2 linked regions of the Tamandua tetradactyla genome follow. The protein of the gene in region 2 binds, or shares a complex with, the protein of the main gene of each other region. Links are inferred from orthologs where the notes say so. Each region holds a gene or a part of one and is shown on either strand. Other genes may lie near its edges. The genes, in order: nucleoside diphosphate kinase A and ANP32A.

What was found.
Region 1: ANP32A (region 2) and nucleoside diphosphate kinase A share a complex: the UniProt entries of both Homo sapiens proteins name them as parts of the SET complex. The link is inferred for Tamandua tetradactyla from reciprocal best matches to the Homo sapiens genes ANP32A and NME1.

Annotation. Positions count from the first base shown.
Region 1 is NC_135332.1:32,270,223-32,279,350, reverse strand, and holds the start of nucleoside diphosphate kinase A, read right to left. Parts: upstream 3,577-9,128; 5' UTR 3,449-3,576; intron 1,810-3,448; exon of another isoform or gene 144-1,809; intron 1-143. UniProt on the Homo sapiens protein: Major role in the synthesis of nucleoside triphosphates other than ATP. The ATP gamma phosphate is transferred to the NDP beta phosphate via a ping-pong mechanism, using a phosphorylated active-site intermediate.
Region 2 is NC_135340.1:86,158,347-86,167,430, forward strand, and holds the start of ANP32A (acidic leucine-rich nuclear phosphoprotein 32 family member A), read right to left. Parts: upstream 3,998-9,084; 5' UTR 3,694-3,997; intron 3,180-3,693; 5' UTR 3,092-3,179; coding exon 3,026-3,091; intron 209-3,025; coding exon 59-208; intron 1-58. UniProt on the Homo sapiens protein: Multifunctional protein that is involved in the regulation of many processes including tumor suppression, apoptosis, cell cycle progression or transcription. Promotes apoptosis by favouring the activation of caspase-9/CASP9 and allowing apoptosome formation.

The sequences.
Region 1 (9,128 bases), on a different chromosome or scaffold from region 2:
GTATAAATATATGGTTAAACTAACATTAATACACATCACCATTTATCAGTTACATAATAAAACAAATTATCAAGTATCCAAATATTAAGTTACACAGCTCAAAAGGCATATATTAGATGTCTGCTGAATCAGCAGAAACCTACTTCTTTTTTTGCAAGAGGTTGGGGAAAAAATAAAAATAAAAATCACACTTCGAACAAAAATAGTTGGTAAACAACCTTCAATAGATATGGAAAAAAATTACAAGAATTTCAGAAATTTTGATTAAGAATTATTGTAGCTACCCTCACAAAGCATGTCTACCTTTAAAAAATATTTACTAAATTAAAGAGCATATTCTACATGTTCCGCACAAGACAAAAGCAACACTTTACTAAAAATATTTAATAGCCCCCTCCCATTTATTTGTCAGGCCCTCCTGGTTAAGTTGCACCCTAAAGTGCAATCATCAAATTAACTGTAATGCTTTTTTGTCTGGAGACATTAAAGACATGTGCTTCTGTACAATGTCAATTTTCAAAATGGAGGTTTTCTCTAACATCACAAAATGAGTTATAGACATTAAATAATCACCGTAAGACTTGGTAAAAATCTAACAAAATTCAATGGCTGTGCAAACCTGATGTATACTGGTATGAATGTGGGAGATGTAAACATAAAGTGACCAGGCAGATAACCAAACAGACCTACTTTCAATGTTTGAAATGACTGAAGGAATAAACCACATAAGGTCTAGAGTGTTCATAGTTCCTGGGATTTTAAATTCTGAATGATACTAAAAATATACAAGTATTGTGCTGGGTATTTTGGCAGCTAATCTCTCTAAATTTCTTATATATTGATAAGATTGTGGCATAAGAGACTTAAAAGAGGACTTATAACTCAATACTGCATGATTTCAGGAAAGGTCAACTGTCACAAATGATAAGCCCATTTTAAATGCTGACCAGCAAGAAATCTTTTGCTAAGTGTCCAAACAAGCTGATTGTAACCTAAACATAGAGGCTGCAATTCTGTCAAACTTGTAGCATGGTAAAACTGCTTTTCAATACTCCTATGGAAGCTTCAACTGGACTTATTCACCGACATGGTGGCTAATATGTACGACAAATTAGGTTCTTCCTCTCTCAAGTTCCACTTCCAAGGCAATGGCATCAGGCACCCCAGTTTTATTGAATGCAACAGTTGTTTCTGTGACCACTGGAGTCTTTGAAGCGCAGCCACATCTTAGGACGATATTTCTCCAAATACAAAAGCTGCTTGCTGTTAAAAGCTCCACGCCGCTTTTGTCTTATGAACTGTACTGCATCTTCATATTTCATTCCACCTTCAATCAATGCTAGGGCAACAAGCACTGGAGCTCTCCCAAGACCTCCAACACAATGAACAGCAATGCAGCCACCAGGTTCTTCACGAAACTTAATTTTTACAAGACTTAACCAATCATCAACAATCTGGTTGGATGGTGGTGCACCATCATCAAAAGGCCAATCAAGAACATGGATGCCTTCTTTCTCCACAAGAGCAGTGTCATAAGTTGCTTAACATACTCTCACTATTGTGCTAACGCCATACTTCTTAAGTTCCTCTACAAATTTGCTTAAGGTTGCATTGGTCGGATTGTGTGTAATAAGAAATCTCATGTTCTTGTATGTGACTTCCACAGGAGCTGGGCGGTTCATTCGAGCCATGTTAATTTAGTTAAAAACACTCAAAGGGCTATGAAAAAATTTTAAAAATTGAATACAGAAACGATGTAAAGAAACTGAAGTCTACTTCAATATACTCCACTTGAAATTCTCAGTGCTTTGAGTATGAAGTTGCGAGGAATGGGAAATGAAATGGACCTCCTAACAAGAAGCAGCGATTCTTCAATCCAGTAATACTGAGGCAATTTAAAGTAGTGCACTGAGGTTTACCCCATCCAGATCAGAACTCTTGTAAAATGCTCTGCAGATTTCAATTCAACACTTCTGTGTCCAGGTTAACCACTCTTATGGGGGTTTCTTGGTGGAGTACTAATGAGTTCTACAGTTCACTTGTCTGCATAGAGGTCGTGCTGTGCCTGGCAGTAATCTCCGCTGCCCTTCAGAAACTCCACAAATGTGTGACCAAGAACACCACAGAACTGAGGAATATGTTTACTCATTGAAGATTGTGGCCTAATCATACAGCTGGTTCCAAGGCGGCGGCGAAACAGGCAGTGGCTGCAGGACAGGGGGCGGTGGTGGTCGTCGCGGGGTGGCAGTGGCACCAGGCTCCCTCAGTAAGTTTTAAGTACCTACTGTATACCCAATACAGTGACAGACTAAGATAGGGGTGTAAAACTAAGACATCCTCTTTCTCAATAATCCAGATGGGGAAAACTACATGTGAAAATGACATAGGGTAACAAGACAGTAAGAAACAAGGTTTGACCCAGTGCCACAGCCATGGTATTAGAACTGGAAGGAGTTTTCTAGATTGTTTCATTACAACCCCTTCATTTTACAAATGAGGAAATGGGTCCAACCTGTTTCCCAACCCCAACCCTATGCAACTTATGCTATACCCTAAGATGCAGTGAATATTCTGACTAGCGGATAAACAATAGATGGAGGAAGAATTACAGTCATTAGTAATATCTGATATGAGATTGTAATTTCACAGATTACTGTGCTGGAAAGGAGTCTAGAGAGCATCTAATCTCGATTCTTCCTTTTACAGAGGAGAATCAGCTCATGACCTGCTCTGTGTCAACACAATGAGAAAGGCCCCTCATCTTGGAAGACAATCCTTGATGTGGAGAGCAGCCACCTCCTGACTCTTGGCCTTCATACTTTACTTACGGCCTATCACAGCACCTTAACATTGTATTTGAATTTTCTGCATAAATGTCTGGTCTGTGACCTGCAGAGAGGGCTGGTTTAATTCTGTGCGAATTTCCAATACCTAGCCACATGGCCTAGCACTCAGGAAAAGCGAACAAAACGTCTTAAATTATTATCTCCCCTCCCCTCGAAAAAAGAGATACCAAACCTCAAAGGCTATCTGGAGAACCCCAGATGAAAGCAAGGCTTTGCCAGGAGAAAATGGGGCTAAAAAAAAAAACAGAAATCACTCCTACAAATGTCCCTCTCCAAACCCCGCTACACAAACACTGTGATTCACTCAACAAACCCCGCGCCAACTATTGGCCAGGCACTGTTCTTGAGAGAGTCAAATAAAGCACAACCCCAGACCTCGCGGCCCGGTGTGAAAGGCAGCCACGTACAAAGGCGAGTCCACGTGGCGTGGGAGGTGCACTGACAGGTTTGCACCTGCTGACAAAGGGTCCTCATCCCTTCCCTTCCATCTCACACACACCTCCCCCCCCCCCCGCCCCCCCGCCTCTCAGGGCGAACGTCAAACGCCCTCTTCATCCCGGACCCCATTCTTCTTGCTATTCCAGATCCGGAACCCCTCTTACCCCTCCAGCTGCTTGGCCTTCAACTCTGGCTGCTGCCACAGACACCGGAAACCCGCCCCGGCCCCACGTGGTTCCCAGCACTGACGGACACGGAACGCTTCTGCTGAGGTCTGGCAGGGAAGGTCCCATTTTAGAAGACACCATTCGTCCACGCTTCCTTCTATGGGTAGGATGTCATTCTAGGGCGCAAACTTCCGATGTTTAATTTCCGGCACTAGTTTCGTGCTCTTCCGGCAGGCGGCCTCGTTTTTGTTTTGTTTTGTTTTTTTAAGCAAACTGGTACCGCCGAGAGGTGGCGCTCAGACCATTCACGAAGTCTGAAGGAGCGTCTTACATAAATTTGACGTACTGCTCCCTCATATTTATTCAATCCTTTTTTCAGCAAGTCATGCAATAAATAATTGAGTACCTACCATGTTCTAGGCAGTATTCTAGGCCCTGGGGATATAGCAGTAAACTCTTGGGGTTTCTGGTGGGGTTTTGGGGAGAAGGGGGGCAAGCAATAAGCAATAAATTGATATGTAGTATAATAACGTTTTATGTAAGTGCTATAAAGAACAAGGCAAGGGGAAAAAGTTAAAGAGGAAGGCTACATTCAAAGTCTAGTTGGAAAAGAAAAAGTCTAGTCGAGGAAATCTCTGAGGAACTGACAGTAATAATAGACTAGACCTGAATGAAGTGGGGGAGCATTCCAGATGACTGAAGACATCCAGCGGTAGGCATCCCATTGGAGAGGGGCCAGATTGTGGTAGGAAGTCATTGTAGGGTTTGGAACAGAGAATGACATCATCTTATTTTTTAAAAATCATTCTGACTGCCGTGAGGGGAATGGATGAAGAGATGGGACAAAAGTGGAATCAAGAGACTTTTCACCAAATGATACTGGAGCCATTGGACATCTACAGGCAAAAAAAACCTTGACCTAGACCTCACAGTTTATATAAAATTCACTCAAAGCAGATCATAAAATTTTAAACTATAAAATGTCTAGGAAAAAAAGAAGAAAATCTTCCGAGCTGAGGGCTAAAGGAAGAATGTTTAGATTTGACAACAAATGCCAAATCCATAAAAGAAAACAGTTAATAAATTAGATTCATCGAAATTAAAAGCTTTTGCCTTGGGAAAGACTTTGTGAGAAGGATGAAAAGACAAGTTAGAGTGGGAGAAAATATTTGCAAACCACATATCTAATAATGGACCTATACCTAGACTATATAAAGAACTTTCAAAACTCAACAGTTAAAAAAAAATTAGAAAGTAGGCAAAAGACAGGTCATTTCGTTGAAGAGGATATACAGATGGCAAGTAAGTACATGAAGAGATGTTAGACATCATTTGCCATTAGGGCAATGCAAATTAAAACCACAATGAGGTATCACTATACACTGTCAAATGGCTAAAATGAAAATTTAGTAACAACACTAAATGCCGCCAAGGATGCAGAAAACCTGAATCACCCACAATGCATTGCTGATAGGAATTTTAAATTATATAGCCGCTCTTGAAAACAGTCTTGCCGTTTCTTGTAAAACCAAACACGAATTTACAGCATCACCCAGCAATGGCATTCTTGAACAGAATTGAAAACTTATGTTCTGTTCACACCAAAAATGAACACAATCACACTGAACACAAATGTTCGTAGCAGCTTTATTTGCATTAGTCAAAAATTAGGAACAGAACAGGTGGTCTTTACTTGGTGAATAGTTGAACAAACCATGGTACATCCAGACCATGAAATACTCAGCCATTAAAAAAAAAACAGTTGATATATAAAACAACTTCAATGGATCTAAAGAGAATTATGCTAAGTGGAAAAAAAGATAAGGCAGTGTCAAAAAGGTTGTATACAGTATGATTCCATTTATATAGCATCCTTGAAATAAAATTAGAGAAATGGAGAACAAATTATGTTTGCCGGGAATTAGAGATGGCAGGGTACAGGGTATGAATGTGGCTATAAAGGAGCAGTATGAGAGACTTGTGATAATGGAAGAGTTCTGTATCTTGATTGTGGTTGCAGTTATATGAATCTACACATGTGATAAAGTTGCATAGAACTAGACAAATGAGTATGTACAACTGGTGAGATATGAATGAATTCAGTGGATTGTACCAATGTCAGTTTCTTGGTTTTAATATTACACTATAGTTATTCAAGATTTTTCCGCTGGGGGAAACTAAAGGAAGGTACACAGGATTACCCTGTCCATTTATTGGAACTTGGTTTGAATCTGCAATTATTTCAAGATTTTTTTTTTAATGTTAAATGAAACAACAACAACAAAAACAAACCAGTTTGGGAATACAGTAGTAATCCAAGTAAGAGATAATCATGATTTGCAATAGGTGGTGACAAAGGAGATGCAAACAAGTGGTTAGTTACAGGAAATATATTAAGATGGAGCCCATAGGTCTTGCTGATGGATAGGATGTGGGGTATGAGAAAAAGATAACTAGATGAAGAATCCCAGGTTTCTTTTCTTTTTCTTTCTTTCTTTCTTTCTTTTTTTTTTTTTTTTTTTTTGGAGAGGGTGCATAAAATGTCAGTTCAATACAATTATTTACAAAATCCTTTTCAGTGGTTGCAGTCCACTATAGTAATGTTTCTAAAAGTTTTATGTATAAAGAAATCACCTAGGAGGGCGGGCCACGGTGGCTCAGCAGGCCGAGTTTTTGCCTGCCATGCCGAGGACCCGGGTTAAATTCCTTGTGCGTGCCCATGCAAAAAAAAAAAAAGAAGAAGAAGAAGAAGAAGAAATCACCTGGGGAGTTGTTAAAATACAGATTCTGATTCAGTGAGTCTGAGAGTTTGCATATCTAATAAGTTCCCAAATGATTCCAATGCTACTGATTGGTAGATTCTATAAGACCATGTCCTAGAGACAGATTCATTTAAATTGATAATTTAAGCCTTATTAGTCGAAGAGGTTCTTGCCCAGGCAGATACTGAGGAAGAGGTATAGGGAGTGGAAAATAGGAAGATCTCATCTGTTCCTGGAAGCCATCCTGAATACATGACTCCACCCTGACCGTCCTTTCCCAATCCTACAACAGCCCTCTGAGCTTCCACAGGTAAATGTTTCTGTGAACCAAATCAGAAAACTATGTCTTAGTATACACAGGTGGTTCAGTGGTAGAATACTCACCTGCCATGCAGGAGCCCTGGGTTTGATTCTTGGCCCATGCACCCACCCACCCCCCCCCAAAAAAGAAAAGAAAACTATGTCTTTATAGAATTTCAAGTTAAAAGGAATCTTAAATAATTTGTGACAAATCACCTCTTCAGAAACCCTGACAAGGAATCAGCCAGCCTCCTCTTGAAATCACTGACAGTGGAAATTTATACCTAAGGCAGTAGTAATTCACTCCTTTGCACTGGCCTTCCACCCCCTGCTAAATAACTCTTTAATTAAATGTATCCACAGCCCAAAATAATAATAGAGGTGAAGTTTAGTGAACTGAACTAATAATATCAAGTATTGTGGGCAGAAAAAGAGAGGTTGCTAGGTTGCCTTGATGGGGTGGTGGAAACATTTTATAGAAGAGATTGGATTCAGATACCCAGAAAAAAAGTAGTAAGTAGATATATCTGTAGGAATTGGGGGATTAGGAATATAGCCAAAAGCAAAGGATGCAAGAAGGAAAAAGTAAGAAATTTCTGAGAAACTGATTAGATATTCCTAATAGACTCTCCCATGGAAAAACAGGGGAAAAGGTCACCAGATTAGTGACAAGCCTTGAATGCTAATCTAAAAAATTTAGACTTTGGGCTATAGTTAGTGGAAAGCCATTGAAGTTTTGGAGGATAAGACAGTGGCTTATCAGAAAATGTTAAAATTCTAGAACTCAAAAGACCATTGAAGGCCCCAATCAAGATAAGAGAGTGAGACACTTCAGGGCTCCATCCCCCTTGGAAGCTTTGAACAACCAGCATGAACCGGCAGAAACATCTTTCTAAAAGCTCCAGAAAACAGTTAAAGGATTGTATTAACGGGGCGAGGGGCAAATCAAGAAAAGGCTACTTAAAAGATGTAGGATTTCTTCAAGCCCTGGCTGACGCCTCCCCAAACCTCTCACTGGCTTGGCATGGAGACAGACCATGCACCTAGTATGGATCCCCAGTCCTGGTTCCAGAAGGAGTAGAATAACCTTATGCACATACTGGGAACATGTATGTGTCTGGCAAATCTATCTGGTGTGGTCTGAGGAACTCACTGTATCAGAGCTTGCCCTGTGTGTAGAAGGCAGCTCATAGAATACTCCTACACAACACTGTGGGAGAGCAGTTAAACTGTGGTGCCTAAGGCAAAGGATTGCTGGTTGCAGGACATACAGTTTAGTGCTCAGGACCATGAGGAAACTGTTTCCTAGAGAACAGGGGACATCATATCCATAAAAATGGGGAATTCCTAGGGCCACATGTACATGCCCAAGCCAAGACACATGTGCAGAAAGAATTGGAGTAGCCACTCTGCTTTGGCATGGAACACTCACACAAATCAATCTACAAAGCCTGGAAAGGTGCTTTCTTTTTTTTCCTTCTTCCTCCCTTCCTTCTTTGCTCTTCCTCCCTTTCTCCTTCTCTTTCTCCTTCTCCTTTCTTCTCAGTGACTGGCATTCAAGTAAAGCCTCGTCTTAAAACTAACTGGATACAAGCTTAAGGAGCAGATGCCTTAGAGACTACATTCTATTAATAACACACAAAAGTATCAAAATATTTTCAGGTTTCAACAAAAGGTTAGAAAACATATAAAGAAGCAAGAAACAATGGCCCAGGCAAAGGTGAAGGTTAAGGCGATTAAAAAACATCAATGAGGAGATTCAGTCCCGGAGCATTCCAGACAAAGACTTAAAAAAAATGGTCCTAAATATGCTCAAAGAGATAAGGAAAACATGGACAAAGAACTAAAGGAAATCCTGAAAACAACAGAAAGAGACTATCAATAGAGAGATGGAAATTATGAAAAGGAACCAAACAGAGCTGAAAACCACAGTAACAGAAATTCAAATTTCCTTAGAGGGGCTCAACAACATATTGGAGCTAGAAGAAGAAGGAATCAGTGAACTGAAAAGTAAAACAATTGAAATCAGGCAGTCTGAGGCACAGAAAGAGGGAAGAATGAAGAAGAGTGAACAGAGCATGAGGTACCTGTAGGATACCATCAAGCATACCAGTATACACATTGTGGGGGTCCCAGAAAGAAAAGATCGAGAAAAAGGGGCAGGGAGAATATTCAAAGAAATAATTGCTGAAAACTTCCCAAATTTAACAAAGAGGTGAATATACACATCCAAGGTATTCAACGAACTCCAAACAATATAAACCTAAATAGACCCACACGGTGCCGTGTTATAATCAGTGTCAAAAGCTAAAGACAGAGAGAATTTTGAAAGCTTCTCTGTAAGGAGAAAAAGCAACATGTCATACACAAGGAAGCTTCATTAAGATTAATTCCTAACTTCTCATAACCATGGAGGCAAGAAGACAGTGGGAAGACATATTTAAAGTGCTGAAAGCAAAAATTGCCATCTAAGAATTCTCTATACAACAAAACTGTCTTTCAAAAATGAAGAATGGATTAAGACAATCCCAAATAATCAAAAGCTAAGGAATTTCGTCACCACTAGACTGGCTATACAGGAGATGCTAAATGGAGTTCTGCACGTTGAAAGGAAA
Region 2 (9,084 bases):
ACAAAGTAATCCCTTCCTCCTCCCAACACACACATACTCCCTACACTCTCATATTTACCTTCTTAAGTTTGTTTAACTTTGGTAAGTTTGCGACTGAGGTGAGGCCTACATTGATTGTACTTAAGAACTCCAGTTCTTCAAATTCATCTGTGAGGCCTTCGATTTTGCCTTCATTCGACCGACAGTTGTCCAGGACAAGCTCTTTCACCTGGAAAGGAAAGTTATGCATGAATGGAAGTTAAGGGAAGGCAGAAGTAGTGGAAACGGTGACAGAGAGCCCTCCTTTGTGGGTATGGAGACAGAGCTTTTCTGGTTCTTCTGGATCACTGTTCTGCCAATGATCAAAGGACAGTTCACCTATCCTGGTCTTTCTGCCTTCAGCACTATTGAGGAGAAAAGGAGGGTCGGGTTGCAGAGTTGCCAAACCAGGAAGCCACTTCAGACAGGAGCTTTTGCTGGACTGGAGGAGACAAATCCAACAGGCTCTGTTGCTATGCCCAGGAAGGTGGTTTTATTCCAACCCTAATGCCACATTCTCCCCCAAACCCCATTTAAAACGAAAACACCAGTCCCACAGCTCCCTACCAGGACTGGCCACTATGTTGTTGAGGACCTCTGGGCCTAGGACTCAACACTATCAGATCTCCCCTGACTCCAGTGCCTTTTTTATGACCCCAACCTAACCATCCCAGCTACCTACTTCTGATCCTCACCGCCCCACTTCCTTTTGCCTCCACGAGTCCCTGACCTGCTGCCTGCTGACAGTTTCCCAGATTCACACACATGCTCGCTCTCACCAGCTCCTGACATCAGGCAAAGCCTGCCCACCTGATGCTGGCATTCATCACCAAGGTCACCCATTGGCCTGCTCCACGACGGGCAGCAGACCAGGACTCTTCTTCCTCTCCAGACCAGCACTGTCCAATAGAACATCCAGCAATTTGGGCAATGTTCCTCACTGTCTAAGAGAGTAGCCACTAGCTACATGTGGCTTCTGAGCACTCAAAATGTGGCTAGTGTGACCGATGAACTGAATTTTAAATTCAATTTTAATTAAGTATTAAGAATTATATAGAACAACACAACTTTAATTTTGCTCTTCGGGGTCCTGAGCAAAGAAGTGGGAGGCAAAAATGGAAATCAAGCCACAAACCTAAGGTTGGCCCATGACATGCTGAGGTTGGCAAAGCCTAAAAGGCCTTTGGCAGTACCTCTGACCTCTTATCCCTCTCCAACTCCCTAGAGGTAGTTTTGCCTTATTAGAGTCCTTATGTTCTCCCTTCTCCTCTTACCACAAATTTGAGTCTTAAAACCCTTTATTTCTTGAAGCTGAATGTGAGAATGACAGGCACAAATGAGATCAGAAGGAAAGACAGACGATAAAGACTAAGATGGTATAATCTAGGAATGCCTAGAGTGTACAATGATAGTGACCAAATGTACAAATTATAAAATGTTTTTGCATGAGGAAGAACAAAGGAACGTCAGTATTGCAGGGTGCTGAAAACATGGTAATTCATATTTTAAAAACTTTAATTTATGTGAGACTAAAGCAAAACAATGTTTATTTGGTAAAAAATTTATAATTTGACTAGTGCATTTCCTAATATAAATTGTGTGGACAGTTTAATTGAATACCACAAGTACATGGAACCTTGAGTAGGGCATGAGAGTTTGTAGGTTTGTCCAGAGTGATGCCCCGATGAATCCCAGAGTGATTTGATCAGTGAGTGGAAAAGTATTTGCAAAGTCCCCTTCAGGGAATGGTGAGAATGGGGAGAAATGCAACTTTCCCAAGTTGAATTCTTGATATTCTCACAAGCAGTGTGGACAACCAAAGCTACAGGCTGAGCCCCCAATCTTGGGGTTTGCTCATATGAAACTTAACCCCACAAAGGATAGGTCAAGCCTACTTAAAATTTAGGCCTAAGAGTCACCCCCAAGAGAACCTCTTTTGTTGCTCAGATGTGGCCTCTCTCTCAGTCAGCAGGACAAGCAAACTCACTGCCCCCCCCCCCCCAACGTGGGACATGACTACCAGGGGTGTGGACCTTCCTGGCAATGTGGGACAGAAATCCTAGAATGAGCTGGGACTCAGCATCAAGGGATTGAGAAAACCTTCTTGACCTAAATGGGGAAGAGTGAAATGAGACAAAATAAAGTGTCAATGGCTGAGAGATTTCAAACAGAGTTGAGAGGTTATCCCGGAGGTTGTTCTTACGCATTATTTAGATATCACCTTTTTAGTTATGTTATATTGGAGAGGTTGAAGGGAAGTGCCTGAAAATGCAGAGCTGTGTTCCAGTAGCCATGTTTCTTGAAGATGATTGTATAATGATACAGCTTTCTCAATGTGACTGTGTGATTGTGAAAACCTTGTGTCTCATGCTCCTTTTATCTACGGTATGGACAAATAAGTAAAACATAGGGATTAAAAATAAATAAATAATAGGTGGAACAAATGTTAAATTTAGTAAATTGAACTGCTAGTGATTAATGAAAGGGAATGGTAATGGGAATAGAAAAAAATAGGGGAAACAAAGGCTAAAATATATTGGGTAGATGGAAATATTAGTAGTCCAATGAGAGGGAAAGGTAAAGGGTATGTTATGTATGAGTTTTGTTCTCTTTTCTTTTTCTGAATTAATGCAAATGTTCTAAGAAATGATCACAGTGATGATACTTTGAGTTTTTGACTATATACCAAGAATGGAATGATCATATGCTAATAATGTTCACATTTGTATGTTATGTTTAAAAAAATTAAAAACAAAAACAACTTTTATTTCTAAGGAGACAGAAGGAGGCTTTTAGAAGTAGATTTGTCTTAAATGCAGGAATAGAGTTGCAAGTGAAATTCCAGGCTCTAGTAAAGATGGTAGGAAGATCATCTGAGAGAAAGTAATTAAGTCTCAGGCATGAAATAAACCAGGGCTGAAAAGCTCCTTAAAGGTGATCCCTCAGGGCTGTATCTGATACTCAAAACCCCCTATAATACCCAGCCCAGGATCACAGCCATCCTCACCTTTCTACTACCTGCAGCCTGCCAGGAAACATTTACTGATGTCTCCTGGGACTTCCAGACTTCCATCCACAGGTCCTGATTTTTCACCAATAGCTCACATGGAACAGGTTTGTCCTCAATAGTAGCCCTCCAATTGTCTGAAGTCTTTTCTTCTCTTAGACAGGCAGATGGACATTCAACCCAGCCCTTGTCTAGGGCAGTTCCTTCCCTCCCACCCTCCACAGTGCCCCAGGCTCTGAGCAGGCCAGTTTGTCTAGCTTCCAAAGGGTCCAAGATGACCACAGCTTGTCACAGTCCTCCAGGTGGGGTAGAAAGAATAGTGTCTCCCTCCTACTCAGGCATCTCTGAGCCAAGCGGAAACTTGGAAGAAGAGCTGGGGACAGGATACCCAGCCTCCCCTTGGTCCATCCCTGCCAGCAGGGGACCCCTGAGGGCACACCTGCATCTGAGTCCTGCAGGGGCCCACAGCTACTCTGTTTCCAATTTTTCCTCAGAACAGAGGCAGAGCACCCTGTCTCAGCCAGCAGCAGTTTTTAGGTTTGATCTGGCATAGATCACAGAGGATAAAACCCAGGGAATGGCAGCTCTTTCCCAGAGATACCCTGGCCACCAAGGCCCACCTTTCTGAAATTGGTTCTGAGATGAAATAAGTTAAGTTCCTTTCTTACCCTCCTCAAGCCCCAGGAGAGGCTAGATGGCCAGGTCAAACCACCTTCTCAAAGTTGTTGGCCAAGAGTGCCTGGGAATAAATTCTGTGAGGCCTTCTGCTCTCGGACAGGAAAACAATACAGAGTCAGGAAGCCAGGCTGTAGGAGATCAGAGCGAACATACAGAAATCAACTATATTGAGGGAGGGAGGGGGAACCATCGCTTTCATTTGCAGTAAACACTGGAGTCACAAGGTCTAAAAAAGAAGTTAATAAAGAAGACTAAACAGTCTTCTTTAGTAACTGGCTTCCTTGGAAGGCCCTGGGAATTCTTTTAAGCTCCCACAAAGAAAGACAAATATGAAAAGGGATTCCAGTCCACCCTCAAAGATTTCAGACGTGGTTTTGCTAGATGGGTCAAGGGCTTCTCCTCTTACTGCCATTAACCAAGGAGAGGAGAGCCTCAGAAATGGGGGAAGGGAGTGCTGGGGAGTCAGGGAATTCCTCCTGGAAGTTGGCCTCTTTCCCAGAGAGGCACAATACTGCCTGCCACTCCTGCTGGCAGCCTAGGAATACTACAGACACAGGGCAGGGTTTCAAAGCTCAGACCAGGATACTTCCCAGCTCCCAACACCACACCCAAACTCGGGGACAGTACACAAGCCACTGCCATTACTAACTTTATTACTAATAATCCCAGAATCTTTCTTGAGCCTTTTCAGGCACACTCTAGGTATATCACATGCATTATATTGGGGTAGTCTCCTCATCTTATACTCACAGCAGAACTACCTATCTGAAAGTCCCAATTAATATGGTTGAATGAGACACTTCAGGGCTCTGTTCCCCCACAGAAGCTTTGAACGACCAGCAACAACTGGCAAAAATAATCTTTCTTAAGTTCTAGAAAACAGTTAAACGACTGCAGTAACAGGTCAAGAACCGAACCAAACCAAGAAAAAGACAAATTAAAAGTAACAGGATCTTTCGAAGCTCTGGCTGGTCAACCTGCACTCCCAGTGTGAGCTCTGGGCCTGGTTACAGAAGGAGCAAAGTAACCCTCTTTGACATACGGGGAACATGTATGTCTGGCCTGACCTATCCGGTGGTGACTTGAGGGATTTGCTGTCCCAGAACTTGGCTTGCATGTAGAGGAGGCAGTTCACTGAGGTCTCCTACAAAGCATTGTGGGAGAGCAGTCAAGCCGTGCTGCCTGGAGCAAGGGGTTGCTGGCTGTAGGACAAACAGTACTGTGCCCAGAATGGTGAGAAAACAGTTTTCTAGGGATGAGGGGACACGTGGAACCGCATACATGAGGGAATTTCTAGGGCCGTGAGCACATGCCCAAGGTAAGAGGCCCGTAGGAAAAGATCAAGGAAGCCCCAGGCTTTGGCTTGGAGCTATTCTCCAAATTGACTGTGCAGATAAGCTCTGAAGGGCAGCACTTGCATAGATCAATCTGCTAAGACTGGGAAAGGTGTTTCCTTTTTTACTGTTAATTCCTGGCATTCAAAGAAAGCACTATCAGAATACTAGCTTGATAAAAGCTTAAGGAATTGGGGACTCAAAATCTAAATTTCAAGATAGCACACTAAAATATCAAAATAGCCAGGTTTCACAAAAGACTGTAAAACATACAAAAGATACAGGAAGAGATGGCACAGACAAGAGAGAAAATTAAAGCCTTAGAAACCATCAATGAGGAGAACCAGATCTGAGATGTATCAGTCAGATTTTTAAAAATCAGTCCCAAATATACTCAGGATGCTGAAGGAAAACATGGACAAAGAACTAAGGGAAATCAGGAAAAGGACAGATGAACATAAAGAGAACAGAGAGATGGAAATTATGAAAAGGAACCAAACAGAGCTGAAAAACCATAGTAACAGAAATGTAAGTTCCCAGGAAGGGTTCAACAGCTTATTGGAGCTCGCAGAAGAAAAAATCAGTGGGGCTTGAAGACAACAGAAATCATCCAGTCTGAGGAGGAGAAAAAAGAAAAAAATGAAGAAAAGTGAACAGAGCCTGAAGAACCTGTGGGACATCATCAAGCTTATCACCATTGTGGGGGTCCCAGAAAGAGAGGAAAGGGGCAGAGGGAATATTCAAAGAAATAATGGCTGAAAACTCCCCAAATTAAGCAAACACATGAATATACATATTCAGGATGTTCAATGAACTCCACACAGGATAAAACCAAATAGATCCATGCCTTGCCATGTTATAATCAAACTGCTGACTGCCAAGGATAAAGAGAGGATTCTTAAGACTACAAAAGAGAAGCTAAATGCCACATACAGGGGTGCCTCAATAAGATTCAAGTGCTGGTTTCTCTATGGAAACCAAGGAGGCAGGAAGGCACTGAAGACAGATTTAAAATGCTAAAAGCAAAAAAAAAAAAAAAAATCACCAAGCAAGAATTCTGTATCCAGCAAAACTGTCTTTCAACAATGAAGGAAATGTTGTGATATACTTTGAAATTTATTGCTTTTATGTATATATATGCTATTTAAAGAAGAGACGTATAACAGAGAAGAAAGGATTTAACAAATGAGTATGACTCCTGAATCATTATATTGATATTTCTGTTGGTCTCTAGTGTCTTAAGAGCAGCTACAAGAAAAAAAATAAAATAAAATTGTGGAACCATAACCAATACCAAACATGAAAATTTGTTCTATAAGTACTTGTTAAAATGTACTTGGAAATTTATTGCTTTTTTGTGTGTATGTTATATTTCACAATTTAAAGAAAATATTTAAAAAATGAAGGAGATTACATTTCTGAATACAGTTAAAAAGGGAGAAATTTTAGTTGGTATGTTACTAAAATAAAAAAAAATAAATAAAAAGAGGAAGGAACTAAGACACTCACAGACAAACAAGAACTGAGGGACATTGTAATCAGTTATCTGACCTTATAAGAAATGCTAAAGGGAGTTCTTCAGTTGAAAGGGAGGAACACTAGACACTGATTGAAGCCATAGGAAGAAATAAAGATCTCCAGTAAAGACAGTGAAATGAGTAAATATAAATACCCGCACTATCATATTTTAAATTTGAAACTCCACTTTTTGCTTCCCACAAATAATCAACGGTTTTGGATTTATAACGTATAAATATGTAATCTATGACAAGAATTACACAAAGGTGAGGTGATAGAGGGGTACAGGAACACAGTTTATATATGCTCTTAGAAGTTAAGGTGGTATCAAAGCAAATGAGGCTGCTAAAGATTTAAAATGTTATAAGCCCCATCATAACCACAAAAAAAAATCAGAAAACAGGGTAGAGGTTGTCAGAGGTGGGGAACAGGGGAAATGGGGAGTTAATGTAAAACGAGTGTAGAGTTTCTGTTTGCGGTGGAGGGAAAGTTCTAGTAATGGATGGTGGTGATTAAGTGAATAGTATCCTTGGGAGGGACTGGGATGGATAAATTTATGTTATATATATGTTTTCACATTTAAAAAAGAATTAAAAGCAATGTATGATACTGGATGGGATATAAGAATGGAGGAGAAAAGGTTCAAAAAGACATTATTGGGACACAAGAAAATACGAGAATGTAAAATGTAAGGTATATATCAATATTAAATTTCCTGAACTTGAAAACTGTACTTTGGGTAATTTCATAAATGAATATCCTTGTTTGTAAGAAATGTACATGGAATTATCACATATTTAAGCAGTATGATGTATGCAACCTACTCTCAAATGTTCAGACAACAGCTAGATAGATACAGGCAGACAGACAGGATAAATGGAAGATAGAAGGATATGTCAAAGGTGGCAAGATGTTAAAATGGTAGATCTGGGTATCTGGGGGCGTGGGGGTATGCTGGAGTTTTCTGTATGGGGTCTGTGTTATTTTTGTAACTATACTGTGCGTGAGTCTGATATTATTTTAAAATATGAAGTTTTGGTTGTTTTTTTTTTTTTTTAATAAGGTAGGAGTTGGGGTGAACCACTTATCCTAAAATCTCAGGACTTGACCCTAGAGGGGTACATACTAATCAAGGTGGTCAGTGTTGGCTTTAAAGATGAAATTTATAAAGAGACTGTTCAACTCAACAACAGTAAGACAGCCAACCCAATTACAAAATGGGCAAAAGACTTGAACAAACACTTCTCAGAAGAGGAAATACAAACGGCCAAAAGGCACATGAAGAGATGCTCAACTTCCCTGGCTATTAGAGAAATGCAAATCAAAACCACAATGAGATATCATCTCACACCCACCAGAATGGCCATTATCAATAAAACAGAAAAAAAAAAAAAAAAAAAAAAAAAGATGAAAAGGGCACAAACTCTCCCAGAACATCAACTCAAGTGTAGAAGTTCCCTTAACCACAACTGTTCCCTTTAACCCCTTTTCCAGCTGTCCCATTAGCTGGGTGGGCGCCACTTCTAGCAGTCCCAGATGTTACACAGTCCTTTGGTTACACTTCCTTGGTAACCAAAGGACAAAACCCAGCTGGGCCCTTGCTCAGATGATGCTGCAGTCAGAAAGCAAGAATCTGGAGGGACCCTGAAGCGTCTGGGAACCAAGCTCTCTCCTCCAGGAGCTGAAAAGATGTTCCCATTCACTTGAGAAACCCTATGGTTTCTGAAGGACCAGATGGCTGTTAATAGTCGAGGTAGTAGAGTCTCTGGAATGCCCACTGCATGTGTACTTCCTTCCTGGTAGGGGTTTCAGCACTGTTTGAGGTGAGATCAAAGAGAAAAGGGAGAGGTCAGGACTTTGATTTTGAGGTTGGTGAATATCACCAAAAAGCCTAAAGCCACATGGTGGGGAGCCCACGACTTCTTCTGCAAGGCAAGGCAGGATGGTGTGTTACACTGGGGACAGCAGGATAGGCTGCCTGTGAAGTGTCTAAACAAATCAAACAAGGCAAAGCAAAATCACCAGCTCAACAGTTGACCTGTGAATGTTACTTAGCCCATCCCCCACCTCCATGGAGAGTCTCAGGATAGGCTAACATGTTTCAAAACTTCTGACCCCAGAGATTTAAGATTCTTAACTCCTTCTGTTGCAATTCCAACCCCATTCCTCTCATCTGTACTGGGCAGCCTCTGCTCTAAAAACCTTCAAAATGAAAAGAACATACCTTTCACATCCAGGGTGTGTTCTGTTTAAAAAAGAAAGAAAAGGAAAAAAAAAAAAATTAAGGCCCATTTCCTTTGCCAAGTCCTGGGTGTGAGCTAAGTGCAAAGTTAAAGGAGTTAAAATTAAACTGAAAATTTGTACTTTGGGTTTAGAGTTACAATACTACTGGCCATTTAAAAATATCTGAATGTGGTTACTTTCTCTAGTCCAACAACTGGAATTACTCAGTATAAAGAACTTTCAATCCCCTAAAACAAACCTACACAGGATTGTATGCTTCATTCTTCAAATTTAACACTCAAGAGG